Linked DNA regions of Saccharomyces cerevisiae S288C. The gene in region 1 interacts genetically with each later gene. Each region holds a gene or a part of one and is shown in the gene's direction. Other genes may lie near its edges.

Region 1 (3,520 bases):
ATAATTCCAAATGCTATTTCCCTCATAGCCTTTCTCCAACACCGCTGTCATCCAACAGCTCAAGCCATGTCATTTTGCCACCCATATCCTCCTTCACCAATTTAATTACAGTTGCAGAAAGAGAATTTAACGGCAGATCAAATTCCTTGCATGCCAATTTTACATCACCGGTGCCAAGAACAGTGCTAGATCATCACAGACATGAGCTAACATTTTGCAACCCTAACAACACAACGGGTTTCAAAACCATCACCCCCTCACCACCAACTCAACACCAGAGTATATTGCCAACCGCGGTAGATAACGTACCGAGATCAAAATCCGTGTCCAGCCTACCCGTTAGTGGATTCCCACCTTTGATCGTCAAACAACAACAGCAACAGCAACTCAACAGTAGTAGTAGTGCCTCTGCACTACCGTCTATTCATTCCCCATTGACTAATGAACATACAAGCAGGTATTCATCGTCTTTAAAGGATTCCGCCAAGATAACGAAGCAAAGAAAGAAAAAGGAATGCCCCATCTGCCACAACTTCTACGCCAACCTATCTACGCATAAATCCACTCATTTAACTCCGGAGGACAGACCGCATAAGTGCCCTATCTGTCAACGCGGCTTTGCCAGGAACAATGATCTGATAAGGCACAAGAAGCGCCATTGGAAAGATGAATTTATGCAAATATACGCAAGGGAGTCCGACAACAATAGTGGTGCTGACGATCAAGATGACACTGCCCGCACCTCCGCAAACAACGACAGCGACGACTCAAACGATAAACTCGCTGCCTCATCCTCTTCCGAAGAAACAAAACTACTGAAGAAAAACCAATTGAAATCACTATACAAGATTAAAGGTGCATTCAAGTGTCCTTACAACTCTACTCTGATCAATTTGGATATGGAGGTGTATCCACACAAGTCTAGATCACTCTATTTCGAGCCAATAAACTGTCATCAAACGGGCGTTTTTTCGCGCTGTGATACTTTCAAGAATCACCTAAAGGCTTTGCATTTCGAGTACCCGCCCAAGACCAAGAAAGAAGATAGAGGTGTTGTGCCGGGGAAGTGCAAGCATTGTGGACTGCAATTTCCGAACGTTGACGTCTGGCTAAATAAGCACGTGGGGAAAGGATGTGGCTACTCATATCACTAAAACCAAAGTCATTCACCGACTCATACATACACACACATACATACATTTATTTATTTATGCCCTAATAATACACATCATTTCTGCGTAAATTATTGTTACGCTGCCCTACGTTATTAATCTAGATTCTTGTTTTCTCTCTGTGTCTCGTTTCTCTTTTTAGGCATGAAGCGAAAAAATCAACAACCGCTATTGACAGGAAGCAAGCTGGCATGAGCCGTTTTTTTTACTTTTTTTGATTTTACCAGAAGGGCGTTGAGACCTGCATCAGCCGTTTGCGGATAGGTTATGCCAGTGATGAAGCACCTGATTCAACTGCCGGCTCTCCGATTGGTCTCCGATCGTTTAGTTCCTTATATTGTACACTATTTCAGCTGTACAAGCCTAGGCCCGAATCGAATTATAAGTCCGTCCGGCTCAAGTCATGGACTCATTATCGATTCGTCTTTTTTTAGCTGCCCCCACGTTATCTCTTCTTTTTTTTTTCTCTGCATCGCGGCGAGTCCCTTGAAAGGGTCGCGAACCTTCGAAGCAGCACTTCTTTTTTTCACATGAGAATGTAGTCCATTGCGTAAATCCAGTCTTTGCGGCTTTCCCTTCTTCCTCATCATATTGTTGACCAACTCCAACAGAAAAGCACATTTCCTCTTCACCAATTTTCTTCTTTCTTTTTTGAAAGTACGAACATGTAAGGGACATTGGACATTATGTGCTCGTTCATGTATAATATTACATGAGGTAGTTAGTTACGTAAATTTATAAAAACGTATCGATGAAAGTTGCACAGAAGTAAAAAGTAAAGTATACAAGTATTACGTCGACTTCTTAGGTAGGTAACAATAATAAAAAATCAATTACGTAAAACGTATGCTGATAGTATTATTCTTAACATTATTTTGTTCGGTAGTGTTCCGAACAGCTTATTGTGATGTGGCCATTGTGGCTCCAGAACCCAACTCAGTTTATGATTTATCTGGTACAAGTCAGGCTGTTGTCAAAGTAAAGTGGATGCATACAGATAACACACCACAGGAAAAGGATTTTGTCAGATACACGTTTACTCTGTGTTCGGGTACCAATGCCATGATAGAAGCAATGGCTACTCTTCAAACACTCAGTGCGAGTGATCTGACAGACAACGAGTTCAATGCGATAATAGAAAACACCGTTGGGACGGACGGTGTTTACTTCATACAAGTCTTTGCGCAAACAGCTATCGGTTACACCATTCATTACACTAACAGATTTAAACTAAAAGGGATGATTGGTACAAAAGCCGCTAATCCGAGTATGATAACCATTGCACCAGAGGCACAAACAAGAATTACCACAGGAGATGTGGGTGCCACGATTGATTCTAAGAGTTTCACCGTTCCCTACAACTTACAAACAGGTGTTGTGAAATATGCTCCCATGCAACTCCAACCGGCTACTAAGGTAACAGCAAAGACATGGAAAAGGAAGTACGCGACCAGTGAGGTAACGTATTACTACACTTTAAGAAACTCCGTTGATCAACATACTACCGTAACACCAGGGTGGTCATACATAATTACAGCTGATAGTAACTATGCTACGCCGGCCCCTATGCCGGCTGATAATGGCGGTTGGTATAATCCACGCAAGAGACTCTCTCTGACTGCAAGAAAAGTTAATGCTTTGAGGCACAGATAATGAAATAATACAAAAAAAAAATTTATGAAAATGGACAAATCGATTTATTATATTCGTTAACATTTTTTCTGCTTAATTATTGTTATTCTATTTTTTTTTTTTTTTAAATGGATGAGCTGTATTCCATTTTAACCAGTAACGGTAATTTTTAATACTAATAAAAAAAGGAGACAAATAATATAGTATTAGTTGTAATTCATATTGTGTTTCTGTTTAGTACATATGTTAGTACATATATTCTTAATATGCTATGATAATGAGATACGAGAACCAGAAGAAACACAAGAATCACTCCTTGTGCTCCTCATCGTCATCGGCAATGGCAGAAGAGTCCTCTTTTGACTCTTCCTTGCCGTTTTTCTTCTTATTTTTGGGGAATTTAGGCAAGTTTTTCTTCTTATGGCCGTTAAAGGATCTTGATCTACCGCTGAAGTTTTTGGACTTCGAGGCCTCTCTCTGTAAATCAAACTGTTTTTTCGTCAAAACACTCAGTTTCTTACCTTCATATGACAAAATTTCGTTGGACTCATCGTCATTGGAATACGATTTCAAAAAAGCTTCACATTCTGGAATTGTCTTAAATTCCACCAAGACCGTACCATTAAATTTCTTGTTTCTGTGATCTCTTCTCAAACGCACTTGGTTGATTTCACCTAATTTTTTGAAAAAGGCTTCCAAGTTCTCCTGCAATTCAG
Region 2 (4,414 bases), on another chromosome or scaffold:
GGAAAATGCGGATGGTGAAAAAAATTTTTGGAAATTTACTGCTTCAGATGGGGGAACTTTGTAAGTTCTTCCTTTTTTTTCGTAGAGGTTGGAAAATTCAGAGTGCTAAGAAATTAAAAGGTATGCACTGCCTATTCTCATAAAAGCAAAAGTGCACAAAAATAATAAGGTGTGAAGCAATAGTAGAAAAGACACTGGGAACCCAAGGTATCTTATTTTAACAGATAAGTAAAACTAAGATCAAATCGCGTACTGATATCACTTAAGGTTCGCGTATTTTAAAGGCTACGCAGAAGAGGAAATAAATTGCGTGCAATCCCTGCGCTTAACTCATACAAAAAGGCGCAAAACATTTCAAGAGTCCCACGATTAATTGCAGAAATTGAAAAAAAATAAGTAAAGACGAAAATCAAAGTGGATGCCATATTATGAAGCAGGAGCCACATAGACAATCCGAAGAAAAAGAGAAGCCGAAAGGACCAATGGCTGTTGAACGAGAGCAGCATACCTCATTATCTTCTGGTACAACCGTGACAGCTAGTACAGGAGACGAGAGTACCAACAGTAGACCAGTGGAATCATCGCAAACAGAAAAGTCTCTATCGCTTCGAATAAGAATATTAAAACAACTTGGGTTTGACGATATTCAAGAACTAAATGCATGCGACACTGGCCTAGTGGAGCAATTTTTAAACGTACGATTGATAAACGACACAAAAGAACTAGAAAAGATACGCGAGTCAAATCTTGCGAAACTAAACCAGATTATTGATAAATGTATGGAAAGTGATAAAATAAGTGATTCGACATTAAACAAGATTCTTGATATGTCCATGAATAGAGATACAAATAATGATAACAACAATCATCTTACGATACCGTCTCCGATAACGACAAAGAAACGCAAGATAAACGCCTCCGAACTTGCAAGTCCACGAGGCCATAGAAGATATAGATCTGATATACCTACAGTGTCAGAAGTTGAGACAGGGGTCGGATACCCTCAAATACACCAGCAACCAGGCGCATATACTTTACCTATGCCTGCAAATCAGTGGATGAGCAACCCGTATATGCAACCTCCGCAACCACAAGTGCAACAGATAATGCCGCAGTATTTATATCCACCAGGGATGGGACCACAAGCTCAGCTTCCTACAATGAGCTCAAACTCGGAGTCCCAGACACCAGTGATGAGCTCACAGTTTCTTTCCTTGAACCAGCATGGCCTTTACCAACAAAATATAGGTGCTCATCCGGTAATGAGTATGGGCCCACAGGCAAATATATACGGGCAGCAGCACCAGCTGCAACCTGGTCAGGAACGAGACCAGTCAAGAAAAAGTTTTAGTCATAGAAGGTCACAAAGTGCCAATATTTCCATGGCAAATTTTAGGTCGCCCATGCGAAATCCCCAGCCGGCTTCGTCCCAAAGGCCCGTCAATTTTCTCATTCATACACCAAAACATCCTCCTCCCACATGACGTGCAGTAATTTTCATTTTTATCACCTAATTTCTAAAACTATATCCCTTCCTAACCTTCATTCGATGCATCCGTCCACCTTACTTCAGTTCAAAAAAAAATATATATCCATATATATGCTACAGTGTTATTATTACGATTTCTTTGCCTTTACTCCTTATCTCATTTCAATCATGAATAAACAGGATATTGATAATATATGCTGTCATTTTGGATTCAGTCTGCTTAACTGTCTTGTCCACCCCCGGTGTTCTTACCCGTCTGAGCGGTCGTAAGACGGAGGTAATAATTTTTCAGCATCCTGACCTCCCCCCCAAATCTGTGCCTTTCACCACATTTTTCTCGAGAAAATGTGTCTTGGCTCAGATGATGTCGTATGAGCTACTGGACTTTTTTTTGTTGGCCCTGATGAAAATAGTAATGGCGGTTACAGAACAGATAAACGGCGTCACCATCTTTTCCTAGATAAAGAAGCAATCTCTAGATAATGGGGTATATAAATATACATTGTAAAAACGGCAAGTCAGTTGCTGGTCATTTTAGTAGAAACTCTGCTCTCAAACTTGAGTACTGCAACGATGGCAGGAGCAACATCAAGTATAATTCGGGAAAATGATTTTGAGGACGAGCTTGCGGAGAGTATGCAGTCATATAATAGAGAAACTGCAGACAAATTGGCTTTGACTAGGACCGAGAGTGTAAAGCCAGAACCGGAGATAACCGCTCCGCCTCACTCACGCTTTTCCCGTTCTTTCAAGACAGTTTTAATAGCTCAGTGCGCTTTCACTGGGTTTTTCTCCACAATAGCAGGTGCCATCTACTATCCAGTTCTGAGCGTTATAGAAAGAAAATTCGATATTGACGAGGAATTGGTGAATGTCACTGTTGTAGTATATTTTGTATTTCAGGGTCTTGCCCCCACATTCATGGGCGGGTTTGCCGATTCACTGGGCAGGAGACCGGTGGTGCTTGTCGCAATCGTCATTTATTTTGGTGCCTGCATCGGTCTTGCTTGTGCTCAAACGTATGCTCAGATCATTGTGCTAAGATGTCTACAAGCCGCCGGTATTTCACCCGTGATTGCGATTAACAGCGGAATAATGGGAGATGTTACTACTAGAGCCGAGCGCGGCGGGTACGTTGGATATGTTGCTGGATTTCAAGTTCTAGGTTCTGCGTTCGGAGCCCTTATCGGTGCCGGATTATCATCTAGATGGGGATGGAGAGCCATCTTTTGGTTCTTAGCAATTGGATCTGGCATTTGCTTCCTAGCCTCGTTTTTAATTTTGCCAGAAACAAAGAGGAACATATCCGGGAATGGTTCTGTCACCCCAAAATCATACTTAAATAGAGCTCCCATTCTTGTTTTGCCAACAGTAAGAAAATCATTGCATTTGGATAATCCAGATTACGAAACATTGGAACTGCCCACGCAACTAAATCTACTGGCGCCCTTCAAGATTTTGAAAGCTTATGAAATTTGTATACTTATGCTAGTCGCTGGATTACAATTTGCCATGTATACTACGCACCTTACGGCGTTATCCACAGCTTTGAGTAAACAATATCACTTGACTGTTGCAAAGGTAGGATTATGCTACCTTCCCTCCGGTATCTGCACATTATGTAGTATTGTCATTGCTGGAAGATATTTGAATTGGAATTACAGGCGCAGATTAAAATATTACCAAAATTGGTTGGGCAAGAAGAGATCAAAGCTTTTAGAAGAACACGACAACGACCTTAATTTGGTGCAACGTATCATAGAAAATGATCCCAAATACACCTTTAATATCTTCAAGGCGAGGTTGCAACCCGCATTTGTTACCTTGCTTTTAAGCAGTAGCGGATTTTGTGCGTACGGATGGTGCATTACTGTCAAAGCCCCTTTAGCGGCCGTTCTTTGCATGAGTGGATTTGCGTCGCTGTTTTCCAATTGCATTTTGACTTTTTCAACAACTCTAATAGTTGATCTTTTTCCCACGAAGACATCTACGGCTACGGGATGTTTAAACCTTTTCAGATGCATTCTATCTGCTGTGTTTATAGCTGCATTGAGTAAAATGGTAGAAAAAATGAAATTCGGAGGTGTTTTTACATTTTTGGGGGCTTTAACCTCCTCGTCATCGATCCTCTTATTTATTCTCTTGAGAAAAGGTAAAGAATTAGCCTTTAAGAGGAAAAAGCAAGAACTGGGAGTAAATTAAGAAGTAAAGCTTCTTGAATCAAAGGAAAATGTTCCTTTTGATCGCTCCACTACCGAGAAAGAGGAATTGGTGTGATAAGTCTTCTCAAATAGAAAGTAATAGTAAGTATTTTTTTTTTTTTAATCTGAACTCTGTAATAACTAAAATTAGAGTTAGCAGCACGATTCACTAACATAGAACGGCTAGTACTGAGTTTTGCCTTTATTATTCTCCGCCATTTTTTGCCAAGGCCGAAAATATGCTGGAGGTGCGAAATTCGGAGATTCGGGTTTCATGTTTCTGGCCCGGTTGTTAACGGACCCTTTATCTCATCTTCTGATCTTGGAGTTTCTTCTAGTTGATAAAACCATGGTGAAGCTGAAAGGTTTGAAGAATCTCTATCACTGTAGCAAAAAAATCTTCTTACAACAAAAAAAGTAAGCAAGCAATCAGCGTTCAAAGGAACTTATTCTTGCTTAAAAAAAGTGATAATCTCTTAGCACTACCATCTTCTATTAATAAAAAAATAACAGATAGCTCATGAAGAGACTTCTATAAGTAAATCATGACCAAACAACAAACTTCTGTAATGCGTAACGCATCTATAGCCAAGGAAGAACGTGAAGGATCTGATAATAATAATGTGGACAGATCCAGCTCAGATGCCATCAGTGACAACGACGCAGAAAGATCTAATTCTCATTCTGAAATAGATAACGAATCAAATTTTGATATGGTGCCTTA

The links.
Region 2: mutations in KNH1 (region 1) and QDR2 are lethal when combined (synthetic lethality), as found in Saccharomyces cerevisiae (one large-scale study listed by BioGRID).

The regions. Positions count from the first base shown.
Region 1 is NC_001136.10:364,373-367,892, reverse strand, and holds KNH1 (Knh1p), read left to right. Parts: upstream 1-2,018; coding exon 2,019-2,825; downstream 2,826-3,520. Other genes in the region: STP4 (Stp4p), read left to right, coding at 1-1,154; tRNA maturation protein LHP1, read right to left, coding at 3,114-3,520. UniProt on the Saccharomyces cerevisiae protein: Involved in cell wall beta(1->6) glucan synthesis.
Region 2 is NC_001141.2:130,182-134,595, forward strand, and holds QDR2 (cation transporter), read left to right. Parts: upstream 1-2,062; coding exon 2,063-3,691; downstream 3,692-4,414. Other genes in the region: POG1 (Pog1p), read left to right, coding at 429-1,484; QDR1 (multidrug transporter), read left to right, coding at 4,236-4,414. UniProt on the Saccharomyces cerevisiae protein: Multidrug resistance transporter involved in resistance and adaptation to quinidine and to the herbicide barban (4-chloro-2-butynyl [3-chlorophenyl] carbamate). Implicated in potassium uptake.